Lonchura striata: one gene and its partner. The main gene of each other region encodes a partner of the protein of the gene in region 2 in a complex. Links are inferred from orthologs where the notes say so. Each region holds a gene or a part of one and is shown on either strand. Other genes may lie near its edges.

The links.
Region 1: RRN3 (region 2) and TAF1B share a complex: the UniProt entries of both Homo sapiens proteins name them as parts of the pol I pre-initiation complex. The link is inferred for Lonchura striata from reciprocal best matches to the Homo sapiens genes RRN3 and TAF1B.

What each region holds. Positions count from the first base shown.
Region 1 is NC_134605.1:98,933,453-98,945,691, forward strand, and holds the start of TAF1B (TATA box-binding protein-associated factor RNA polymerase I subunit B), read left to right. Parts: upstream 1-6,991; 5' UTR 6,992-7,058; coding exon 7,059-7,076; intron 7,077-7,809; coding exon 7,810-7,908; intron 7,909-8,393; coding exon 8,394-8,481; intron 8,482-10,252; coding exon 10,253-10,350; intron 10,351-10,644; coding exon 10,645-10,740; intron 10,741-11,351; coding exon 11,352-11,484; intron 11,485-12,239. UniProt on the Homo sapiens protein: Component of RNA polymerase I core factor complex that acts as a GTF2B/TFIIB-like factor and plays a key role in multiple steps during transcription initiation such as pre-initiation complex (PIC) assembly and postpolymerase recruitment events in polymerase I (Pol I) transcription.
Region 2 is NC_134618.1:8,935,676-8,948,199, reverse strand, and holds the start of RRN3 (RNA polymerase I-specific transcription initiation factor RRN3), read right to left. Parts: upstream 4,742-12,524; 5' UTR 4,665-4,741; intron 4,538-4,664; 5' UTR 4,527-4,537; coding exon 4,434-4,526; intron 3,951-4,433; coding exon 3,894-3,950; intron 3,057-3,893; coding exon 2,967-3,056; intron 2,880-2,966; coding exon 2,750-2,879; intron 2,298-2,749; coding exon 2,238-2,297; intron 1,781-2,237; coding exon 1,717-1,780; intron 1,241-1,716; coding exon 1,171-1,240; intron 1-1,170. Other genes in the region: transmembrane protein 238, read right to left, coding at 8,501-8,510, 11,077-11,462. UniProt on the Homo sapiens protein: Required for efficient transcription initiation by RNA polymerase I (Pol I). Required for the formation of the competent pre-initiation complex (PIC).

The DNA of each region.
Region 1 (12,239 bases), on a different chromosome or scaffold from region 2:
GCAATGAGCCTTGCTGAGACACAATATGTTCTAGGTCCCATAGCATGCTGTAACTAACAGACTTAATCAAGTTTGGAATAGGGATGGTGACCTTTTCTTTCTTTGGCAAGAAAGGGACAGAAAAATAGATGGTGAGAAATAGAGGGCAAAAACCACTGGGGAAATGAGATTGTAAATCAAACCAGAGCTATGCCTCAACTTAACTATATTTTCATTTTTATTAATAGCACCCTCTACTATGTTTTATAGCCTACCCTTTAAAAAATAGTTCATGAATTGCAGGGGGTCCTATAAATTTAATTGCTTTTTTTTTAGTATTGTAGTTAGAACAGAAAATTTATCTTTCTAAACTCTGCTCTTAAATGCCATGAACCTGCATACGTATTTACAATAAAAACTATCATAAAAGCTGTGTATTGTGGGTGGGGAATAGAAATTGAGAAACAATATTCCATTCTTTATTTTAAGGGTGTATTAAATACTATTCTTGGTTTAATTTTCTTCACAGAAAATTCACTTTGCCAGGACCATGTCTAGTTTAGAACAGCATTTATCAAACATCCTTTGTAACCTTGAACATGCATGTTGGTTTTGAAGAGTACAGCACCCTGGCTAGGGTGATCCTACCGGTTCTTCTGGATTCTCCTGAATGCTGCTATGTTCCCTTCTTGACAGAGACAACTTGAAAAGTGCAGACTTGAGACCACAGCTTGGGAACATTCTGAAAATAGGGGATTGCATTCTACTTATTTCTATTTCTTCTAGATTTGGCTCCCCTTCACATCTAATTATTGTAATGTGGAATCATCTCTCATAGTTTTTTTGAACAAATATTGAAAACCTGCTATCCATGTACCATAACCTCTTGGAAGCATGATGGAATGAAGTATGACAGGAAGAGTTGCAGACTTTTTTTGAGATTTTCATAGTTTTGAAATCAGAAGGTGTTGACTCCTTGTCATAGCCTTGTGGTATCTTTTTCTGAATTTTCTCCTACTACCACGTGTCATTTTATAAGTGGTTACATTTAAATTACTGGGGGAAAAATTAATCCAATCTGAAGCAACCATTAATGATACCCATAGATAGCTCCTGTTTACCAAAGCATTTGAACAAAGGGGAAAACTGAACTCTATTAAGCATAAAGGATATGCTGGGTTTATCTGTTAAGACTTGGTCTAAAAAGAATGACCTTTCAGGTTGCTTTCACATTCTACTTGCTTTGTACCATGCTTTGGGATATTAGTGACTGTTTGGCTAACAAAGATTTTGAAAGTAGTATCTGTTCTGAAATTTAACTTAACTTCAAGCTCTGCTAATGTGTAACTAATTTTAAAAATTTCCAAAACTTAAAATTCACTCAGCAGAAAATAGGCAAAACACGTATCACAGTTGTATCATGATTCAATAACTAGACTGATTATCAGTGGACTATGAATCATTTGCCTCAGGACTGGCTTCTCTAGCACCTGGAGGATTATCTGACCATCACAGCCCTGTTTTGTTTCGGTTTGGGGGGGGGGGGGGGGGTTTAGTGTTTTTTGTTTGTTTGTTTGTTTGTTTGGGTTGGTTTTTGGTTTTTGTTTTGGTTCTGTTTTGTTTTGAGTTTCTTCAGATACTTAAGGTCTACTACTCAGAGAGATTTTTATAAACTTGTCCTTACATAAAATACATTTTTAAGGTATCATCTAATGTGCTGAGGATAAAGTTGCTGCTGCATTAAGGTCTTGGAAAAGACCAAGAAGATTTGAAAAAAGCAAATACCTTTTTGTTTGGCAAGATCACGTGCTGGTATCCACATTTCAGTACTGACAAGCAGCTCAGAGTCCATCATGAGGAGTGATGGGAAAGAAATGGTAAATGAAACATTTCATAGTCCATGCTGCAGCCTCAGAGACTGAGAAAAAAAGACTGCTCTTGACTTCTGTGAAGAAGTAAGTCTCACATAAGTTATCCCATTTTTGCTATTTCTCTGGTTATGGAGTATTTGAGCTCTGGCAATCCTAATTCTCCATGTTTATAAATGACTGCAGAAGAAAATAAACCTGTAACAGAAATCTACACATGATGATTCCAAAACTTACCAGCATTTTTGAGGGTTTAATTAATTATATGGTGAAAAATGCCCTCTGAGCAACACCCCCACACACCAAAGCTGCGTAGGTCATAGTGAGTACCTTACTTTGCTTCCTCAATTCTGCTGCTTTCTGCATTTTTCTGACAGTTTTACATTCCTACCTGCCACTGCCCACAAATACATTTCTTTGCCATCCAGTGTTAGTCAGCAGAGGAGTTCTGTGATGCACTGTGCACTAAATATGCACAGACATGTGCATGGTGCATGCTTTCCAGACTGACAATCTTCGATCACACTGGATCTGAATTTCTAGCTGTGAGTAGCTGTTCCCAGACGTATTTTTTGGAACCCCTTTGTGAATCCCAGCTCCACAAGGTGGCTCTCGATTCCTTTAAAAATACTACTGCTTTTGTGGATTAAATGTATCTCAGAATGATCTTGAGAACAATCATCATGGCACGATGGATGCACAATGCTACAACGGAAGCCAAGATCCCCTTTAGTATGTAGCATATTTTTCTTTCAGTAAAACTGAAAACTAGACAAAGCCTGACATTACTGAAGTATTACAATTTGAAGGAAGATTTCATGTCAATTGCTCAATAAAATCTGAAAAACAAGAAAATAAAGGCATTATAGATGCCTTTATGAAATGGGATATTCAAATGCTCACTGCCTGCTCTGTTCCTTTGTGGCTTCTCTCTTACAAGTGCCCATCCCTACTCCATACCTCTGTCACCAGGTATTGAGGGGTGCAATCTCTGAGAGCATGGGCAGCCCGAGGGCAGTGTGGTGCTCCTCAGGAAAGACATCTTGCCTTTGAAGGCCAAGACACACTACGAGGTGTTCACTTGACTCCAGCCGGGACTTCAGCATCCCCAGAAGACCTCTCAAATCCCTCTGTGGCTGGCCTTGTGCTAGCATGGCCTCCCAGAGTTTTGCCTGCTCAAGCAGCTCATCTGAATGTGAGGTCCTGCCCTGAGGTGTGTGTCCCCAGAACCCCTGGCTGGGTGACCACAAAGCTGATCACCAGCTCTGCGGGCAGGGAGAGCCCCAGCTGAACCCGGGGTGGGACCACAGAGTAACTCTGCGAGGTGGGCTGGGCTGCAGCATGTGTGCAAAGCAAAGGCTGATGGTGCGAACCCCAGAATTAGTGCCTAAGACTGGCTCAGTTTGCCCTCCCTCTTGGGTATAATATTGCTGCTTTTGGTAATCAGAAATTAAAATTCCTGTTGCTTACATCTTAGGAAAATGCTAAGAAAACCTGAGTAAACTTTGGGAAAAAATATTATTTGCTTTCTGGTGATTTGTATGTTTTAGGTCATATTTTCAGGTTTTCCACAACAGGGATTGAAATTTATTTAACTAGTAAAATTTGAAAGCTGAATCTGTATAACAAACCCTATAGCAAGGCAATGCTGGGTGTGTCTGAACTGTAACGTTAAATTCATTCTTGTCGCTTCCTTCAAAGCTGAGCTGAGCTCAGCCCCTCCCTGGTTATCCCTCCCTGCCGAGCTTGCTGTAACCCCCACGCCTTGCTGCTGTTCCCACCTTTGTCCTTGCACAACTTGCTGCACCTTTGCCTCCACTGCTGGCCCAGCTTCTCCCCCTGACCCCTTCCACAGCGTGGTCTCTAAAGATCAGTTACAGTGAAGCCACTTGCTTCTTGTTCTCCTAATTTCTCTTTTGTTTTCTGTCTGCCTTTAAACATGCGTTCTTCCATGGAGAGATGGTGCAGACATGAAATTTTGCATGTTAATAACTGTGTGCATTTTCTATAAATTTGAATCTGGTCGATCTGCCCTGTGTTCATGTGCACAATCTTTGGGGCAGCTGAGGTTGCTGTTCTGCTCTAACTCTTTGTAGTAGGTGTCTGACAATGGGTAAAGACTCTGGGGAGAATCTCTGCTACAGAAGTTTGTATCCTGGAGCCAGCACAATTTCATGAACAGTAGCCCAAAGGACAGGCCAAGGGACATGTCTTTCAGTCCAATATGTATTTTTTACATTTTCACATGCAGAAAGTCTGCAGTCAAGAACCAGAAATGTGGTATCAGCAATGGAACTCAGTTCATTAAAAATTCAAATCAATGGAAACAACAGGACGTGTTATTTATCTAAGCCTTGAATCAATCTGACTACTATGCATAATGATCTTAATTAGAAAAGTGAGCCGAAGCAGGAAGACAGTCTGTCTCCTGGCTTTGAAATTATCATACCCCTATCAGTATGCTTGGGTAACTTGTAATTAGGGACAAAGGTTACACATAATTTTATATGCTGAAAAACCGGTTTTATACATGTAATTTCAAAAAATATTTAAGAAATAGTTATAAGACTTGGTAACCCTGTTAGACTTTAATTTTTTTTTTTCCTGCCAGATTAGTAGTCTGCACTAATTAATTGATGGACTTCAGAAATAGCTACAGAAACTTTGCATTTATAGGGACCCTGGACACTTATAAGTAACTAGTAATATTAATATCAGTCTTTGTAGAAGTTCCTTTCCAAAATTTGGTACCTTTTCACATCTGTTTCACCTGCGTGGAAAATGCAGCTCAGAGAAACAGTGTGGGCTGTCCAGCAACAGAGAGTAAGGGCTTCCCTGTTCAAAAATTTTACTGGCATGTTGCACCAGTATGGCCACAATTATACCTACACAGCTCCTTGTGCTGTCCCCCACATCTTTCTTCTTTCTTGCTTATCTTCAACTACTGTCATTAAATACGAAATTATCAGGTTTTGACAAAATGGCAGTCCTGTGATTACTCTTCCTTTAATATTTTATGGACAAGCTGTAATTAGAAAACAGAAGACCTAACTCTGAGGTCCTACCTCATCAAAGCACTCAGTTCCACACTTAATTTAAACAAATTCTTCAATTTAGTTAAGTCCACTGGGCAGGCCCACTGCCCGCTCACAGCGTTGAGTCACACACGAGCACTGCTCTCAGCAGGAGCAATGCCTTATCTTCTGCACTGGAACACACCTCTTCCTCTCTTATCACAGCTACAGATGTGATTTTTTTTCAAGGTAGTATTTAATCTTAGAAATACATTAGAAAAAGATCAAACCCTCTCTGTCACACAAGATGGCCTTGCTTTCCCACAACAGTATTTCCACAAACAAAAAAAATATGGAAATTAAAAACACAAGTAGGATCTGTTTCATCAAAGTATTAGCTACATTTCTGTGAGGCTGACAATCACCTTTTTAACATGGCAGGAATTACATGTGTAATGGGTGTTACAAATGTTCAACCCACACTGAAAAAAGATCACAGTTGGTATGAGTAATAACTTTTTTCTTAAACATAAACAGTTTCCCTCTAGCTCTCTACATCAATGTAACCACAGCTGTCAAGGCAGCCTCACCTCTTTCTATGTATATTTTAACTTTAATTTTTTCCCATGCCTTCACTTAGTGGACTTTTTTTTTTTTTATTAAAGGGCTTAAACCTGTTCTCCAATTTTGTGGGCAAATTCCCTGCAATAACAGATCTTGGTGTTTAGACATCTTTAAACATTATTATTAGCATGCAAGAAATTAGAGACCTACATCAAGATCTGGAGGTTTGGGTGTTGTTTTTTAATTGAAAGTGGATTTCAGATTGTAGTTTCCCTCATTCAAGGATCTCCGCTTTTACATAGTTAAATGAGCTTTTGTGGCCTTCTTTACAAGCAGCAGCAGCCCCCTTCCCAGAGCTTTGGTGCAGCCTTGGTGGTCACCAGCTGGGGCCACCGAGGTGGTGCAAGGGTGAGGATGCAGGAGCTCTGTGGAGAGGATGGCGATGGGCTGAGGCTCAGAGGACACACACAGTCTTAGTCTTAAGCTGCACATGCAGTCAGTCCAAAGATGTTCCAGGGGAGGTTTAGGTTGGACATTAGGAAGGACTTATTCACAGAAGTGGTGATTAGGCTTTGGAACGGGCTGCCCGGGGATGTGGCAGTGTCACCATCCCTGGAGGTCTCTAAGGAAGGAGTGGACATGGCACTGAGTCCCATGGTCTAGTTGACATGGTGGTGGACTCGATGATCACAGGAACTCAACTGATTCTGTGATGGAACGGACCCTTCAGTCCCTGGGACACCCCACATCTCCTTGAAGCTGCTACGTCTCCTCCATGGCTGAAGTCACAGAACTATAGACTATGAAGAGGTGGGAAGGGATGCACCGAGCCCCAGTCCCCCCTGCCATGGGCAGAGACACCCCTCACCAGACCAGGCTGCCCAGGGCTCCCTCTGATGCCTTAAGTTTTAGCTTTCGTATTTTCCAGATTCTGTACTGCATTAGTGTGTAACTCTGAGCTTCATATAAAGAGTTAGCAAGCTCTCCTCACAGCTTAGTCAGACAAAACAATCCTTTTCCAGCACAAGAACCAAGGACATCATTGCAGCTTTGGGCCCAAAAAGTCTGAAGAGCAGTGAATTGAGGAGAGCAAACTGGGAGGATGGGACTTCATAACCTGAAGCTGTAACTGGACAATTAACCCCAATATGTAAATGGACTAAAACTTATAAAAGTGTAAAAACTTATAAAAGTGTAAAAACGACTTGGAGTCCATCTTGGGTCCATTTTGGGGAGAGCTACGGCCAGGCTCTTGTACTGCCCAGGCCGTATCCTTTTAAATAAATCCCTACTTTCTTCCTTTAACACAGTCTAGCCTCTGTTCAGGGAGCCCCTCACGGCATCAATCCAACCCGGCCTTCCAAAGATGCGGCGCCTCCACCCTCGCTGGGCAGCCTGCCGCAGTGTCTCACCGCCTCCCAGGAAAGCCTTTTTCCTTTCTCCCTTCTCCCTTCTCCCTCCCGCTGGTGCCAGCCCCGGGATCTGTCCCCTCAGCGCGGCCCTTGCCCCGCCCGTGCCCCCGGCGCCGCGCAGTGCCCGCGGCGGCCCGGAACGCGAGCGCCGGGGCCGCGGTTTCCCGGCGGGCCGCGGCGCCGCGGCGCGGTTGCCATGGTGCTGCCGGGGCGCGGCCGCCATGGACGAGGAGGACACGGTGGGGCCTGCGGGGTTCGCCGGGCCGGGGCCGCTTCCCCCCGGGCGGGCAGCGGCTGCGGGCGGCGGGGGAGAGCGAGAGGCGCCGGCGGGCGCTGCCTGCCCCGGCCCGGTGCTGCCCTGCCCACAGCGGGGCCCGGAGCGCGGGCGAGGCCCTGCCCGGCCCCTCGGCGCTGCCCGGCGCTCGGTCCGGCCCGGGATGTGCCGCCGGCCGCCCCTCAGCCGGGCCCGGCAGCGCTGCCCCTGCCCAGCACGCACGTGGGCGTTTCTGGAAACCACTTGGTTTTGCTCCGTCGGTTTCCCTCTTCTCTCTCCCTCTCCGGTTTCTCCGGGAACCGGCGGCTCGTGCGGGCTTTCTCTCACCGCGTGTGTTTCTTTGCAGTTCCAGAAATTTGTTTTTCTTTTCGCCTCCCCCTCCAGTTTGTATCTCCTTCTCAATTTCTGATGGGTGGCTTTATTTAAAGCCCCGCCACGTGTGTGCGAGGCGTGGATCGCCATTCCTGCTGTTCTGACGCTCTCACACACGGGAACTGGCCCTTTGCAGCTGCAATTACGTGTTCAGGGTTACCTGCGGCTGATGGCAAGTGCGATGATCACTTGTTACCAGCCAGAGCTAACACGAGGGGTGTAAATCCTCTCCTCTGCAAATAATCTCAGAAGCTGTGCAGTAGCCTAGCAATAATGGCATTTGTATTGAGCAATTGTGAAAGTCTTCTGGCTTTTCTTTCTTTCAGAGAGATTTTAATGAGCGCTGTGCTCAGTGTTCAGAAGTGAACTGGGGTCTCACTGATGGAGGCAGATTTTATTGTAGATCTTGCCACAACGTTACTGAGGTAAAAAGATGAGTTACTGCCTTGGAAAATGTTTATTTTGATTGCTTCTTGACTTTATGTAAGAAAATTACAGATTTTTCTTCTCAGCATTGAGGGCAGTATTTTTATTCTTACTTTTTCATGCTTTAGTTGACACTGTTTAAAACTAATGTTCCTTGAAATCACAACATTTCGAATGAGCCATCTTGGCCTGCTGTGTTGCTGTAGCTGTGGTGTCAATGTGCTCTCTAGATGCCTCAGAAGCATTGTCTGAGTGTTGCTGCCTTTATGCAGTCCAAATCCAGGCAAACTGTGATGCATGTCACCTATGTGTCCATGATAGTAATTATCTGTTTTTGAAATTGCTGAATGAAAAGTTCAGACTGTCTTGTGTCCTGATAGTTTAGGAAATTTCGGTGAATTCCTCCATTATGTTTTATGATGGGGCAATCTGTGCAAGTTAGACCTGGCTCTTTTTCTTGCTAAGATGTATTCCTGTTTTGCAGAGAACTAGAGAAGTTGTAAACACTGATTTTATTACTAATTCAAGAGTCCAATCAATCTCCAAAGGTTTAAAAAAGCAGGAAAAAACTGGTATGTATGAGTTTCTGTTCGTATTTTGCAAAAGGGTGGCTGTTCAGCCACTGCTCTCCTAGGCCATTAGGTCTTTGGTAGAGAACAAAAACGGATAGGCAGGAAAGACTGTAGGAGTGGGAACAAAATGCACCTCCCTTATGCTGTTACAACCTTCAGAGATCACACTTGGTGACTTCCTGAGCCACAGGTGACCTCTGGTGAGCCCAGTGGTGGGGATTTTTTATTGAAAAGGTGAGTGTGCTACTGCTGCTTTGACTTCTGGAAGCAAATACTCATTCAGGCTACTGGAGGCATGCATTCAGATGTGGTAATCCTTTGTTCCTTCCCTGTGATGGCTATCACAAAACCAGAGAGGTTGTTTGTCTTGGCAAGTGAGATGTGATGGTGGTCCAGTTCTTGGTGTCAGTCTGGCCTGGGTTACAGGCACTTGGCCCTGCAGCTTACACACAAACTGCGCAGAAGAGGTTTCATGCAGTTCCAGTAGCTGAACCAGAGCTGCATCTTTCATCCAGAGTCACTTTTTTACTTTTAACTTAATGACTATTCAGAAGAATAGTGGTCATTACATAGGAAGATCTGGGGCATAAAGATGTAGTGGTAAAGCTACTGCTAGAGCTGTGTGTGTATGCTGTGTTGGCTGGATACATCTCTTACTGTTGTGGCCACCTTCAGAAAACAGAACTGCATTAAAATGCCAAATAAAGCAAGGGGTTATCTTTCTCTCTGATACGCTCAAATACCATTGGTCTGTTGCAGAGGCAGTAGACTGCTACATTCCTTTGAAAAGAGCAATTATGTGGAAGTGAAGGGAGGTGTGAAAGGACCCCTCCACTTTTCCTTATACTGTATTTATTCTGAAGTCTGGACCAGTCATGCTTTTAATTTATCCTGTTGAGAAGGTCATTAGCCAACCCCAGACTTCTTAAGAAAGAAATCCTTAACTTCACAATGCAGTCATGTTACACTGAATTCCATGAAAGTATAGGAGTAAGCTGTGTCTGTTAGTTCACTGTTAGCAGTTAAGAGCAGCATCATTATAGCAGGGCAGAAGCTTTGGGCAGATAATGTCCAAGATGGTGAGATGCAAGGTGTATTTCGGAACAAGAGTAGTGAAGAACAGGTGTGGAAGGACTGAAAATGGAGTTGAGAAATGCAGAGAAAATTTCTAAAACCAAAAGCCTGTATAAAAGGTTAGTAGTGAATTTAGAGAGGTAAGGGTGAAAAGTAATTGTAATGCAGCCTGAAGAAATAGTGAGCAGATTAGAGCAGGCCCACTCCCTGTGAAATTTATGTTGTGCTATGATTTGTTAGAAGTTGGGATATTCTTTCATTTAAACATTTGTGATTCTGTGTGAGAGAATGGTAAAGCACCAAAGTGGTATTGATTGTTTTTTGCCTGACTCACTCCTGTAATGTTTCAGTTTTCTATGTCAGGGGTGGGAAAGGAATGTTCATATTTCATTTTTAAATGCAGGTTCTCAGTTATTTTTAAACTGGTAATTTAACAGTGCTCTGCTCAATTACAAATGCCACACTAGACATTGTAATGAATTATATTATTCTTGGGAAATGTGTGAAGTTCTTGTTCAGTAACTTTTCTTCTCGTTTAAGGCTGTGAATAAATGGAAGTTAATGGAGTGTTCAGTGCAGGTGGTTTATGCACTAGGGTCTGAAATTATTAGAGATATGGGGATAAGTGTGCATAAAGTTAAAGAAATCCAAAATAGTACAAACAAACATAGTTTGTTTCCTTTGTTTTTCCCCTTAGATGGAGGCTGTGAATGGTATATTTGTGAAGGCTTTCAGCTTGTACTCAAGAAACAGGTGGAAGCTCTAGAAGCATTAGGAGTATGTCCACAAATGAAGGTACGTAGATGTCAGTCTGAGTTCTATACTCTGTGTGTGTGTGTTACAGAAAGTGGGATTTAAAAGATTTTAATTTTTAAAGTGAATAACATAAATCCCTGTTTAAAATCATTGAGCATATGAAATAAAAATTTGTTTCTCTGGTAGTTTTTAAACATATTTTATAAATCACAGTTAATAAAATTAGAGGTGGAATGTTATTCATATTCCTGAGTTAGAAATTACGCTCCGTTCTCTCAGCAATTAATGATCTTGTAAACATTGTACCATTTGCCATCCATTTTTGTTTATCAGGATGAAATTCTGTGCAATTTTTGGAGGTGTTACCTTCAGAAGAGCAAACAGGCATATTGCAAGAGACCAGCTGGGGAAACCATCAAAGTATTATCAGTAAGTGAAAGGTCAAATCCCATGAGATGTTTGGTATCTTTTTAAAAGCAGCAACAGAAATCTTCTTTGTTTAGGTGACATATCTTGCTGCCAACAATGTCACTTCAGTATGAAGGAGGTCATTTAAACAGGCTTGCACATGTCCAATTTATTGGGTTTTGGAGTTTTTTCAAGTCTGTTTCAACAGATAAATATTTCTGTGACTATTTGAAACTGCTTATTTAAAAGTTTTGCCTTGTCTTGACATAGAAAATCAGTAAATACAAATGGCAATGCAAGATGTATCATCAGCTACCATCCTTTTCTGCTTGCTCTCTTGAAGTTACTAGTTTGATCAAGCTTTGATTCTGTGTGCTGCCAACTTTCTGGTCATTGTAGCAGATTAAAGTGTAGTCACTAGAACTTTTTGGTATTGAGAAATCCTTGAAAAAATACTTCCTTGCCTTTTTTTTTTTCCAGTTACTGGTGGTTCATGGAGTAAAAATATTAACAGTTCGAGTTTTAACTTTTACTGTTAATTTTGCATTGCATCTGTCATGGTTTATGTGGTTTGTTAAGATCGAAACCGTAACTAAGAGCAGCTAACACAAATGTTTCTTTACAAACCCCAGGGATGTGAGAGCAGTACTGATGTGGACAGTGATCCAGAGAGACCCAGCTTTCTGCACTTGCTGTCTCTCTCTGACAGTGAGGGGGATCTGCAGACTGACTGCAGCTTTGCCTCATCAGTGAGCAAGGTCTCAGGTAGGAGCAGTGAGCAGAACTATCTGAAAATCAGTTTTTCTGTAGTTTTTAAATATAAATAGATTTAAAGTGTATTTTTGTACAGTGAATTGGAGGAACTGGTTGGAAGTTGTAATATTTTCAGTCTTGTTTGACACTGTACTACTTTATATTCTACCAGAAATAGACTTCCTCCTTCAACTCCTACCCAAGGAGATAAAAGTTGAACAGGACCTGGAAATGCAGTGGGAAATGTAGGAGGAAGTTCTGGTTTATAGCGAGTTTGCTCCATGCCTCCTGTTTAGAGTGGGAAAAAAATTGCTGTTATATCTGCCAAGCTAGATGTTCACAAACACAGCAGCTTTGAAGAATAAGCACACATTTAACCAACAGCAGAGCTGTCTGTCATGACTTTGATGTTAAAAAACATGAGTCTGTTCTTTAAGGGCATGTATTTTTTTTCTATCCCATAGATATGTTTAGCTTTTTAATTTTTTCTTTACATTATATTGGTATTTTTCTATCTTTTGTCTCCACAGTCTTTTTACTGCTTTCCCAATGGCCCCTTATAGGAAAAATCATATTTTAGCATTCCTTCAGTTTCTCTTCTTGCAATAGCAGCATGAAAATAGCTACAGAATGCTGAACTTCTTAATTAAAATGTTGTAGAGAATTGGAGTGTTAGGTTCTGCTGGGCAAGTGTAATACTAGACAATACTGCAAGGCCTGATACTGGAAATGCATTGCAAGGCACATTTGAAAGCTTTTGCTTGTGT
Region 2 (12,524 bases):
ATCAAGCAGCTTAACAGACAAGTTTTGTGAGCATGCATGGGCCCACCCATGTGTACATGTACAAAAGACAACGTTGCAACTTTCATAAAGCAAAACTATCAAGTTGCTGCACACAATCAGGTAGTGTGCCACATCTAAGTACACCACAGTCTACTTGTGAATAAGCATTATAACACAACCTTTAATTACATGAGCACATATGATTTTTCCACAGGCCATCTTGTTCATTTTTTTCACAGGCTTAGTCAGTACACAAAATGGATAGAAAACGTTTAATGAGAAAGTATTAACTGTAAATATTAAACAGTGCATGGACCACATTGTATTACATTTCATTTGAGCTCTGCCCTGAAAACAGCTACACATTTCTTTACATCTTGTCCCTCACTGAGCTGCTAAGTAAATAAATCTCCTAACACCATGTAAGAGCTATTATTCCCCCATTTTACAGATGGGGAGATGGTGCTTAAAGTTATTTGGATTAAGACAACAATTTTTAAAAATTGCAAGATAGATAAAGAACTTTGGGGATTTTTCAGCACTTGATGAGTTCAAAACACAGCTTTGACTGAACTTAGGTGGAGAAGCAGGGCTTTGCCTTTCTGTAACACGAAGTGCCAACATATCAAGCTGGAACAAACAAAGAGAATGATAAAACAACAGCCATAACCTGTCAAAGGTTTACAGCTTGTTTTTCAGCACACAAAAACTATGATAAAGCTATAATAAAATAATAGCGCTTTACTGGCAATTTGGATTTCGCCTGAAATGTCCATTGTCTCTTGTTTGCTTCTCAAATCCCCTGTTCTTCTGCCAAAGACTTTCCAGGTTTGATAACAGACAAGACAGGTCTCCTTAGTACACAATCTGAGACTCCTCATCAAGGAGGTCCATGGTGTACATGGTATACATCCAGTGGGAAAAATATGTGTGATGTCTTTAAAGATGAGCACAACGCTTGTGCACAAAAAACTCAGAATGCTTGGAGAGCCTTACACTAAACAGACACAATCCTATACGTGGTTATTATATATGTAATTATTATATATGCAACAATATTCTTCAAAAATCTGCATGGACTGCCACCGAATCAGTTGTAATACTATACAGAACATTTATGCATTTAGATAAACAGGTGAACAGATCAACAAAAATAGTCACAGCTCTTACCAGAGTTCTTTCTGATTTATTAATGAAAGGAAAGAATTCCACAAGTATCGGCATGAGAAACTGTGGTGTCCTACAATTAATTAAAAACCAAAAATCAGACCTAAAAGTTATAGGTTTGCAAATGTTGAACTCCAGCACTCTAAAGGTGTACTGGAATAAGCTTATTTAACAGGAACTTTATTTTGAGGTAAGTAATTGTATAAAATGTGGTTTGGCAAGGATCACTGGGCAGATAATAAGTGGCAAACTTTCACAATGCACTCATTGGAAGCCACTTCAAATATCACTATAGAGTACAGAATACAGAAGCCACTATCAACACCACTTTTCCTACCTCCCATTTCTGTTAACAGGATTTTCAGCGGCTGATGCCTGACAGAAACTCCATGTTTGTATAAAGCAGTCTACCAGTTATTGAATACTAGGAAGATTCATGTAATGAAATGAAGTGTTATGCTTCCAATTAAGATAGGAAAAAACCCATCAGTTCACAAGCTTTAAATCTGCAAGAAAAGGGCACACAAACCCAAGGGATTCTGTACTTACGAAGGAACATATCTTGCAACAGTTTGCAATGCTCTGTGGCATGTATCAAAGTTTTCAGAGATGTCTAGAGAAAGAAAAAAGAATTCTTATGCACTTGGTTACAGAAAAGTAAATCAGGAACCAGTAAAAACAGTTCATATCAACTACACAATTGAATGATTCCCAAGAAAACTGCATTTGCCAAAATGCTCTTTTGCGGGGGTGTACACTGAGATAAATAAAATAGAAAGCAAACAACTAACTTTTCTTTGGCTTTGAAACAACCTAGGTCTAGGAATGTTTCCCTATGCATTCTATTCCTACAGATACAGCACCAACAGGAATAGTTTCAAAGTAATAAGTGGGTCAGCACACCATTGATTTGAGTACAAGAAAGTCTTTGACTTAGGAATTTAAGGATGTTTCTTATGTTTTACTTGAACTCAGCTCAATTAATTTTGTAAAAAAGGAGCAACATGCACTGGATACTGTTTCGGTAAAGGCACTACAGCAGCATGTATATCTATATACTTTATACTCACTTTCATCATCATCATCAGAATCTGAAATATCCACATCATCTTCTCTGATGGTTATTCGAGCTAGTAAAAAAAAAAAAAAAAGATTATTACATCTTTTTTCAATTGTATACATCTTATAGGTAAGAAATTCAGTAGCAAATACACTGAACAACAGTCTCCAGCACAACTAGAGCGTCAAAATTAGCTGCAAGACCTTCTTAAAGACTGTTATTTACAGAACTAGGAGGTTCTTGAGAACATCTGACATGATCTTCACTTCAGCTTTTGGTTTTTTAGTAGTTAAGATATTATACAGTTCATTCATTTCCAAGACATCTTCAGAACAAGATCTGTATTAGCACCCAGAATATATCCTCTAAAATCTAGGTACAGAAAACTATCTGTATGACAGTCAACATGAAAAAACTCAATAACCCAATAATTAATTGTGTTATGGACTGTGTTTATACAGAACTTATCTATATAGGGATTTTGATGAGCAAACAAAGACCGATAAGAGAGAAGTAACCTACGGGGGACAAACTGTGACACGATCATCCGCAGGCACGGCCTGAGATGCACAGTTTGTGCTGACACAAGATTGCCAAGGAAGCCCAGATATTCTTCCACTACCTCTCGGCTCCTTCTCAACCATGGTAGCTTCTAAAAGTAAGCAAAGATCAAGATGTCAAAGAAGGATGTTTTGAGTACTAAACTCTTAGTCTTCCCATGTAGCAAACAGATACTTACCAGCAAAATGTTGACCAGTTGTCCAAGCTCTTTGGTCAAATATGCAACAGAAGCTCGAAATTCATGCAGCCAATTAATGATCTGGGCATCCTTTAAATCAGCAGAAAAAAATAGGTTAACTATTTCAATAAACAATACTACCTATTAGCAGAAAATACCAAAATCCTTAGAAGTCAAAGATTAAGGCTGTAAATAGAAATTGTTTTCACACTAACATGAAAGGAAATTCAGTTTGTGCCCTCACCAATGAAAGTTCTTGAATGCAGAATACATTCATGCCAGCTCCTAAACCAACAGACTGACATGAAGGTTTCAGTCAGATTAAGCAAGGCATGAAACCTCCCTCACACAGAACATAAAAGAAATGGTATTCCATCATCATTTTCTTTTCTCTTTTGCTCTAGTTTAAGCAGAAGGGACACTCAAATCTTGAAACAGCAAACATGGCTAGTGCTCGTAGCTATACAGAAGAGCTGTGAAACAATACTTCTGGGTATAACTACTAAATGCATATGTGTGTTACTGCCTAATTAAATCAGATTTAGTGAGAACAGAAGGTAAAATTCGATGCAACTTTAAGGCTATGAAAATTAGAAACCATGTCTGATCTACAGAAGAGTCTCCATAATCAACCATCAGTGACCTAAAAAGATGGTATCTGGAACAGAGACTCAAGGGTAGAACAGGGTCAGTAAGCATGAGACATCATTTATAAAGATCCTGCATATACGTATGCGTACAAAAAAGACATTTTTTTTCCATTTAGAGTTTTAATCCTGATGGTTTTTGCAAAGAAAAAAATGCTGTTTAATCAAATTTAAATCTTTAAAGCAAAGGCTTTGTGTAGTCACCAGAATGACTTGTCTGGTGATTACACTCAGACAGACAAACTTTAAATCATCAGACCCCTGACTATCAAAGTCTTACCTTTATGTCTGGATCTGATAGCTGATGTTTTAACAATTCAAAATCTGTAGTGTCACCCTAGCAGGGGAAACAAAAATAAATAAATTACTTTTTTTTTTTCCTTCAGTAAAAACTACCAATTTCATCAATGCATCTGAACAACCAACTATTGAACAGGTACATCAAGAATACAAGACAACCAGCTCAAGAAAGCTGAACAGTAACAGGAAAGCAGCAGTAACAGGGTGTCATCCCAGAAGGCAACCGAGGCTGCTGGCTCATTTTCAGCTGCTCTCCCTGCAAACACAGCTGGATCCCTGTGCACACTTTAGCATAAGCCAGGCTTTACATTCACCCAGCCACGCAGGTTGACTCACGGGGGAATCTTTTTGCTCGCACAGCAATTCTGCCTGGCACAAGCCTACAACGCTCAGCCGCCTTCAATTTTTTCCCTAAGGCTTCAGGCACGGTCTTGCATAAGGCGAAACGAGTGTTCTCACGGAATGACCCCCGAAACCAGCAGTCCGTGCGCAGCGCAGGCCCCTGAGAAGCCGCAGTCACCTTTTCGTACTTCAGCAGGATCTCGGTCAGGGTCCCCCCGAACCGCACCGTCTTCCTGGGCGGGGAGCTGATGAACTCGTCCGCTCCCAGCATGGTCACGGCGCCTGCGGGGAGGGGAAGCCGCGTGAGCACCGCTCGGAGGCCCGGGCACCTCTCGGGCCCCTCCTCAGCCGGGAGAGCCGCGGGGGCCGCCGTTCCCCTCCCAGGATCCCTCCCGCTGCCCGCCCTTGCCTTGCGGCGGCGGCCGCGCCCGCGCTACCGGGGCCAGCGGCGCCTCGCCCCGCGCCCGGCGCGCCCCGGCCGCCCGCGCCGCCACATGCCGCTCCGGCGGAAACTGCGCGGCCGGGCGGAAACCGCGCCGGCGGCCCGCCCCCGCACCGCCGCGCCGCGCCGCCGGGCGGCGGCAGCGAGCGGGCTCGGAGCGGCACCGAGCGGGACAGGGCGGCACCAGAGAGGGACAGAGTGGCACCGAGCGGGCTCGGAGCGGCACCAGAGAGGGACAGAGCGGCACCAGCGAGCCGGGACAGAGCGGCACCGCCGGGCGGCGGCACCGAGCGGGCTCGGAGCGGCACCAGAGAGGGACAGGGCGGCACCAGAGAGGGACAGAGCGGCACCGAGCGGGACAGAGCGGCACCAGAGAGGGACAGAGCGGCACCGAGCGGGCTCGGAGCGGAACCGCCGGGCGGCGGCACCGAGCGGGCTCGGAGCAGCACCGCCGGGCGGCAGCGCTGAGCGGGAAGGGAGCGCTGGGAAGGAGCAGCCGCGGCGCTGCCCCCGCCCACCGTGGTGAAGCCAGGCAAGAGGAGCGGGAAGCTCTACTCTCGTCACCGTTCTGGGTTTACACTGACTCCCGGTAGCGATCCCAGCGTCCCGGGGTGCGTGAGCAGAAATCCAGATTGATCCCCAGGGCCATGGTGGAGCGAGCCCACCCCGGGATGGTTCACAGGCGAGCGCTCCCCGACCCCTTGGGCAGCTCGCCGCGAGCAGTGGGAGCCGCGGGCAGCCCCTCACAGCACGGGTGACACCAAGGGCACGGCCAGCCCGGGTTATCAACTAAAAACTGCAATCCGAAGGGATAAACTAAATGGTACAAACAACTTAATTGAGATTAAAAAGGGCCAAGAATCTGCTCTAAATTAAGCAGTGTTTGACCTTGGGAAGTAATAATGGATTTGCTAGAATAGAGGCACAGGAACTCCAGTGAGATTTCTGGATGTTTTCATCCTCCCTATGTAGGCTGGGTCTATGTTAAAGCACCAGTCATTAAACAAAATGTGTTATGGACTTTTCTGTGTCAGAGCTAGTAACTGGTTTTGCTCCTGAAAGATTGTATACACACACAAATTCTGCTGCCACAGCAACCCGGGTAAGTATGAACAGAGACTTGAATTTCCTGTGTAGTTCTTCAGTAACATCCAATCTGCTGGAAGCTTACTTTGGCTGAATGTGTAAAATTTACTTCACCCATTCACACAAACTAGCTACAGCAACACGTGACATTATTTGACCTTAGCCCTCTCAACTTTGTATACACTTATGCTTCTTTTCTACACAAACTGGTACTGTAATAATTATGTCACTCCCAGCAACTCTCACAAGTTACATCAAACAGATTTTTGTAGGCATTACTAATAATATAATCTTGATGATGATGAAGATATTCCCATTTAAGTAGATACTATACACCACATGAAATCTTCCATTAGATGCAGTCCACGTTTAAAGTCTAACAAGCATTTAATCCATCTACATAGTTAGAAGCTGGAGGTTGGTATTTTTCCTTTAGTGGAATGTAGGATGACATTTTGAGCTAGTTTTAAGACTTAACTAGCAAAAGACTTCTGTAGCCACCCTTCTGGAACTAGTTTGGTTCTTTGTGATTTTGCCTAAGATTTTATACAGCACACATAAGACTTCCTTCAATGGCTAGAGGAATTCTTTTAGCTGCAACAGCAAGCAGTCCTAAACATGTCCAAGAGCTTCCTTCCACTCAACAATGTAAAAGTTCTTTGAATGGACTTTGTGCTGCATTGGCAGAGCTGATAAGGAAACTAAAATAGTGTTAAATATTTGTTAATGTGTAACTGCAGGTGATTCCCAGTTTCTGTTTAGAAGGCAAACTGATTGCATGTAAGAGTAACTGGATGCATTTTCAAAAAGAAAATAGTTACAATGCTTACAATAGGTATCATATCACTGCTCCACAGCAAGTACTGTTTGTCTAATTATTTGGTCTCACCATCTTCTAGTGCTTTAGTGCTTTTCTGTGCTTAACATCCTCCTTAACTGATGGGTCAGTTCCTATATTTCATTTTTAAAATATATACTATTCATACTAGTAAACTAGTTGGAATTCTACATAACTTTTGAGTGAAGTTGCACTCTAGCTACCATCTTATACAACAATCATTAAGTACTGATATTGGATTTGATTAATTACATCGTAATATACAATGAATGCAAAGGCCTGCTCAATTCACTCTAGCAATTATTATTGCTTTAATAGAGTAGAACACTTGAATAGAAAAATTTTAATAGAAAATTTTGGTTTTCACAAACTAAGTATGTGAGCTACATATATGAGTTTTGGCTTAATTTATTCCACTTATTAAACAGTGTATCTCATAATTCACTTTATAAGTGAAACAATGGGGAATCAGAAAAAGCATCTCTTTCTGTTCAGGAAAAATGAAACGAACAAAAAATTATTGCAAATGAAAACTGATCTACAGGTTTGTTTGGGTTTTTTTTAATCAGGCCATTGCAACACTGGAGTGGTGTCACATTGCAGTTCCATTAAAAGCAGGAAACAAATTGCATACACCTCCTAAAAATTGCAGATAGTAAAGGAGAAATCACATTGCAGATCTTCAAGTTTAGTGTTCTTCTGAATTTGTTAAAAGATAGAGCATTTGGAAAGCATTTTAAAATGAGAATATGCAAAGAAAAGAAGTTACTCTAGTAATTTTACAAGAAAACACTGAAAGACATTTCAGGAGTTCATAAGGAAGTACAGCCACAGTGTTCTTAGCAAATATTTTCCTTAATTCCACCTTTAGTATTCAATGAGGTGTGGCATAGAACAATTGTGCATTGAAATTTTAAGCCCTACCAGTATTTGCTGATGGTGGCACCAAACTCTTAGTGTAACTTCAAAACCAGAAGAACTCCTGAGGAAATTCTCAACACAATTTTATCATTAGCACAGTTTTAGGTATCACTAGCATTAATATAAATCTTTTTCCAAGTACTGTTTGTTAATGCTTTACAATGCCTTGGGGTACTTGTTAATCAACAGAGTTTCTTTTGGTCATGTTCTCTCTCTCAAATGCTTCAGCATTAGGAAAATAGTTTCCAACATCACTGGACTAAAAATTACTCTTGCAAGTGTCATCATATTACATCGTTTGTTACTACAAAGAATGTACTTGTATACCAACATCACTGGGGTCTACTTATAAAGTCTCAGATTCCAGGTTATTTCAGAATAACAATGAAACTTTTTACAAGAGATGCTATAAATTGTGTATTTACACTATAAACAACTTCTACTACATTTGCAGCTTTGCGTCAACAATTTAATATAGAGATTTTAAAAGCACCCTTACAAACAAAAGTATTGCACTGGCATTATAAAAATTCACAGTAAGTTTAACTTCCAGACCTTGGTAAAAAACAGTGCAAGAGCTTTTCATTGTGCAAGAGCTTTTTATACAAACCTTTCAGGTTATTGAAAATAATAATAATTGAAACAACACAATAAAACCAACCATATGACAAGCTGCACTGACATTTCAATGAATCAGGTTCAATTCTCTTTAGCTGTCACTTCTCAAAAAGATTTTGTGGAATCTTTTTTCACCATTTCAAAGCATAGCCAGTCCAACACTGAAATAGGTGCTTTTGGCAGAGATATGGCTCCACGTGTCCATTTTATGGAGAGTCCACAATGCTTGCAGAGGTTATTCCACAATGAGAGAATCCTACTGTCTTGAGTAGGGAATCTCTTTCCATAATTTGCAGCATTTTCCCCACTTTTTGGGGCCGTAACATCTTTAGTCATGTCTTCAACAGATCCTGAAGGTAACACATGAAGAAATGGTTACTCCAAAATAGGCTTAGAACAAATATAACTCTAAACTGTTACTTAAAGTCAGTCTTAAAAGTACTTTTCCTCATATTGAACAGCCAACTGGAACCCAAAGAAAAGATCCATTAAGTCACCAGCCCATCTCCAATGGTGGCCAAGTGTGATGTCTCAATGAAGGCATAACAATATGGCACACAAGTAATATCCCCTCAGGATATCAACTGCCCCAGGTCTTCCTTAGCCAAATATATTATCTTTATATTATCATGTATCTTCTGCTTTGTCCTTTGAATTTTTGAATCAGTAAATTTTTATCTGTCCCACTGTCCCATGTCAAGTAATCACATACTTCACTTACATAGCACATGACAGTTTGTGCCTGCTTTGCCTTGGGAGACAAGCACTTCATACCTTTCCCACAGTGACTGCATAGACTTCTAGAACACTTTATATTCTGCATCTCTTTTCAGGCTTGAGGATTCTAATCTACTTGTTATTCCTTTAATAGAAACATTCCATGTAATGAAAATTCTCACCTTTGTCTACTGTATAATGTTTAAGACGGGAAATCAGAACAATGTAGAATGCTCCTTTCATAATTTCAAAAATTAATGCTCAAATTTTCCAAATGAAAATAAAGAGAGGATGTTTGGGGTTTGTTTTGTTTTGTTTTGTTTTTAGGATTTTGTTTTGTTTTGTTTCTGAATGTGTGTGTGGGGGGTGCTGGTTTTTTTCCTTCTCAGGCAATATCTGCCCAAACATGTTTAACCCGTTTGGTTAAGTTCATAAATATCTCCTGATGGGGAGAGGATTTGGTCTATCAGCAAGGAATGACCTGATTCAGACAGTTGTTTATGAGAAGTTCTAAGATACTTTAGGTGAACTTACTTTGAAAGGGAACTCCAAATTATCTTTCAAGGTGAAACCATTTGTTATTCTTTGTTTCACCTTGCAAGTAAAATCCCAGAGTTTATGTTCCAATATGTAACATAACTGCTGTACACCCCCTGTTTTGGTTTTGGTTCTTTCTGAATTACCATTACTGAAGGTTGTTTACTGTAGCAACAGAAGCTACTGGGATATCTTGTACTAAGTATATATATAGATGTGTGTGTGTGTGTGAGTGTATAGGACATGTAAATCTAATTACAATCAGAAATAAGACTTGAAATATTTCAAAATAGTGGATAACTTTCACTAATAGGAGCTCATTAAAACAGAATACCTATCCGTGTACACACAGTGCATCTACAGAAATAGCAAATTACCTACTGAGCTCAATACCTGCAATTGCCATGATGTTTAGATGGAATCGTTCTGCGTAGTCATTTATATTTATATTGTTCCTGCAAATATCGACCTGCCAGTTTTAGACCCCTTTCAGAAAAAAAGAGGTCTGAAAATAGAATGGCTCATTTTCAACAGTCTAATTGCAGGTGTAGTTAATAATAAACTAAAGAGCAGTAACAATCTTTGAAAGTTGTGTTGCTGCTGTTCTTTCCTGCCTCCTACAAGTCTTCTATTAAGGAATAATTATCTATACTCAATCTCCCTGCTGTTAAAACTTTCTCTCAAGAAAAATTTCATAGCTGTCATGAAAGAAGACGATTTCTACATGAATTTTTCTGTAAGTCAACAGTGTCTTCAGAATTTAATTGCAAGGAGAAGCAGGAAAAGCTGATCTTGTACATAGTGAATCAGAACAGCAAGATGTTTAGAATCCTCAAACAGTTCAAACAGTACAAAACTGTGTTTACAGTTCCTACAATAGAGGATTTTACATAGTGAAGTGAAGGCTTGACTTTTTTCCCCAAACACAGTTTCAAGGCATTATGCATGCTTTTCTTCCTATGTGAACACACCACATAAATGAACATACGAAGATATTTTGAAAAGCTTCATGTTCTTCAACCATGCTTTGAAATAGGACCGAGACACTTCCTTTGCACATCAGGTATCATCACATCTTTTCTATATGTCTGAGGTTTAAGACAAACAGTTTAACTGATAGCTACATTTGAGTTTCAACCTCTTACCTACAGCTCTGCCCTCAAGTTAAATCCAAGTCATCATTTCACCTTTTTTGTTCTCCAATAAAGCATTATTTCACGGTGCTAACGAGGGGGTTTCCCCTCCCAAGAGCTCGTGCGGGGTAGTGGTTAATGGCCCTTCCTGGCAGGATTTGGTTGCTGTGAGGACCAGTTCAGAGCGCCAGGGCTCCTGTGCTGCTCTCTGGCCGCAGCTCTCCGCACGCCACCGCACTGCCCGGGCTTCACTCCGGGTCACCTGCTACGTTCTCGGACGGCTACAGGAAGCGCCTTCCCCGCCTAATCCCATTTGTGCAATCTTTCCCACTCGTTTTTATACCACCTGAGCTGAGAAAAACTCCCCACTACTTCTATTTAAGACGTGGCAGCTGCGAGTAGGTGTTTTAACCCAGCAAGCGTTAAACCGAATGCCGGGCAAGCGAGCTGTCGCAGGCTGTGGCCGAAGGCAGAGCCGACAGCCGGGCTGGCCTCGCCGCGCGGCCCCGGGCTCCCGTCCGGCTCTCACCTGCCGGGGTCGGCGCGGCGGCCGCGGGGGCCCTGGGCGCGCCGCAGCTCCAGGTCGGCGGGGCGGGCGGGGGCGAGCGCGGCCGTGAGGCGGAGGCTGAGCCCGTTCACCAGCCGCCGCAGCAGCGTGTCCCCGCGGCCCTTGGGCGGCGACAGCCCCACGTCGTCCCGCAGCTCCTCGGGCGGCACCTCCAGGTTGCCCGCGTACCAGAACACCCACCAGACCAGGCTGAGGAAGATGCCGATGCCGCCCGCGTAGATGAGCAGGTCGGAGAAGAACACGTCGGCGAACACGCCGGCCAGCAGCACCGCCAGCCCCACCGCGTCGAAGGCCAGCGCCAGCCAGAAGGCGGCCACGCAGCGGCCCAGCCCGCCCGGGGCCGCCATGGGGAGCGGCGCCACCGCCGCCTCGGGCCGCGCGCACCTGAGGGGAGGCGAGGGCGGAGCGCACCTGAGGGCAGCGCCGGGCCGCGCCCCCACACCTGAGGGGAGCCTCGGCCACGCCCCCTCTGAAGGGCCGCCCGGGCCACGCCCCCGCACCTGAGGGCAGGTTCAGACCGCGCCCCCGCACCTGAGGGCAGGTTCAGACCGCGCCCCCGCACCTGAGGGCAGGTTCAGACCGCGCCCCCGCACCTGAGGGCAGGTTCAGACCGCGCCCCCGCACCTGAGGGCAGGTTCGGACCGCGCCCCCACACCTGAGGGCAGGTTCAGACCGCGCCCCCGCACCTGAGGGCAGGTTTGGCCGCGCCCCCACACCTGAGGGCAGGTTCAGACCGCGCCCCCGCACCTGAGGGCAGGTTCGGCTGCGCCCCCACACCTGAGGGCAGGTTCAGACCGCGCCCCCGCACCTGAGGGCAGGTTCGGCTGCGCCCCCACACCTGAGGGCAGGTTCAGACCGTGCCCCCGCACCTGAGGGCAGGTTCAGACCGCGCCCCCGCACCTGAGGGCAGGTTCAGACCGCGCCCCCCACACCTGAGGGCAGGTTCAGGCCGCAGCGCACAGGGGAGGCAAGGCGGGCACACGCCGCCCTCACCGGCCCCGCCGAGCCCCCAGCCCGCCACCCTGGGGCTCGGAGACTGATCCATAGCGAACAATGGCATTTGGGAGCTGAGACCTCTCTTCCAGTAGTGCACTACTGCTCCCAGGTGAGCTGGGCCTGCTCAGCTGCTCCAGCTGAGGCAGTGACACCTCCGGCACCCTAGAAGGAAGGCACTCCAAAAAGTGGTCCGCAGATGAACATCCACTTCACTCATCTCCACACTTGCAAGGGGAGGCAAGCTGGTCGCAGACAGCAGAGATTTGCAAGACAGTTACAATGTGCATCTACAAATGCATATAGACCCCTTTAACCGTGCTTGAGGAGGCTGAAAAAGTTGGAATCCAAGTTCAGGTTGACAAACAGGAAACGAGTTGTCAATGCAGGATGCAAAATTCAGTAAGTAAAAGTTA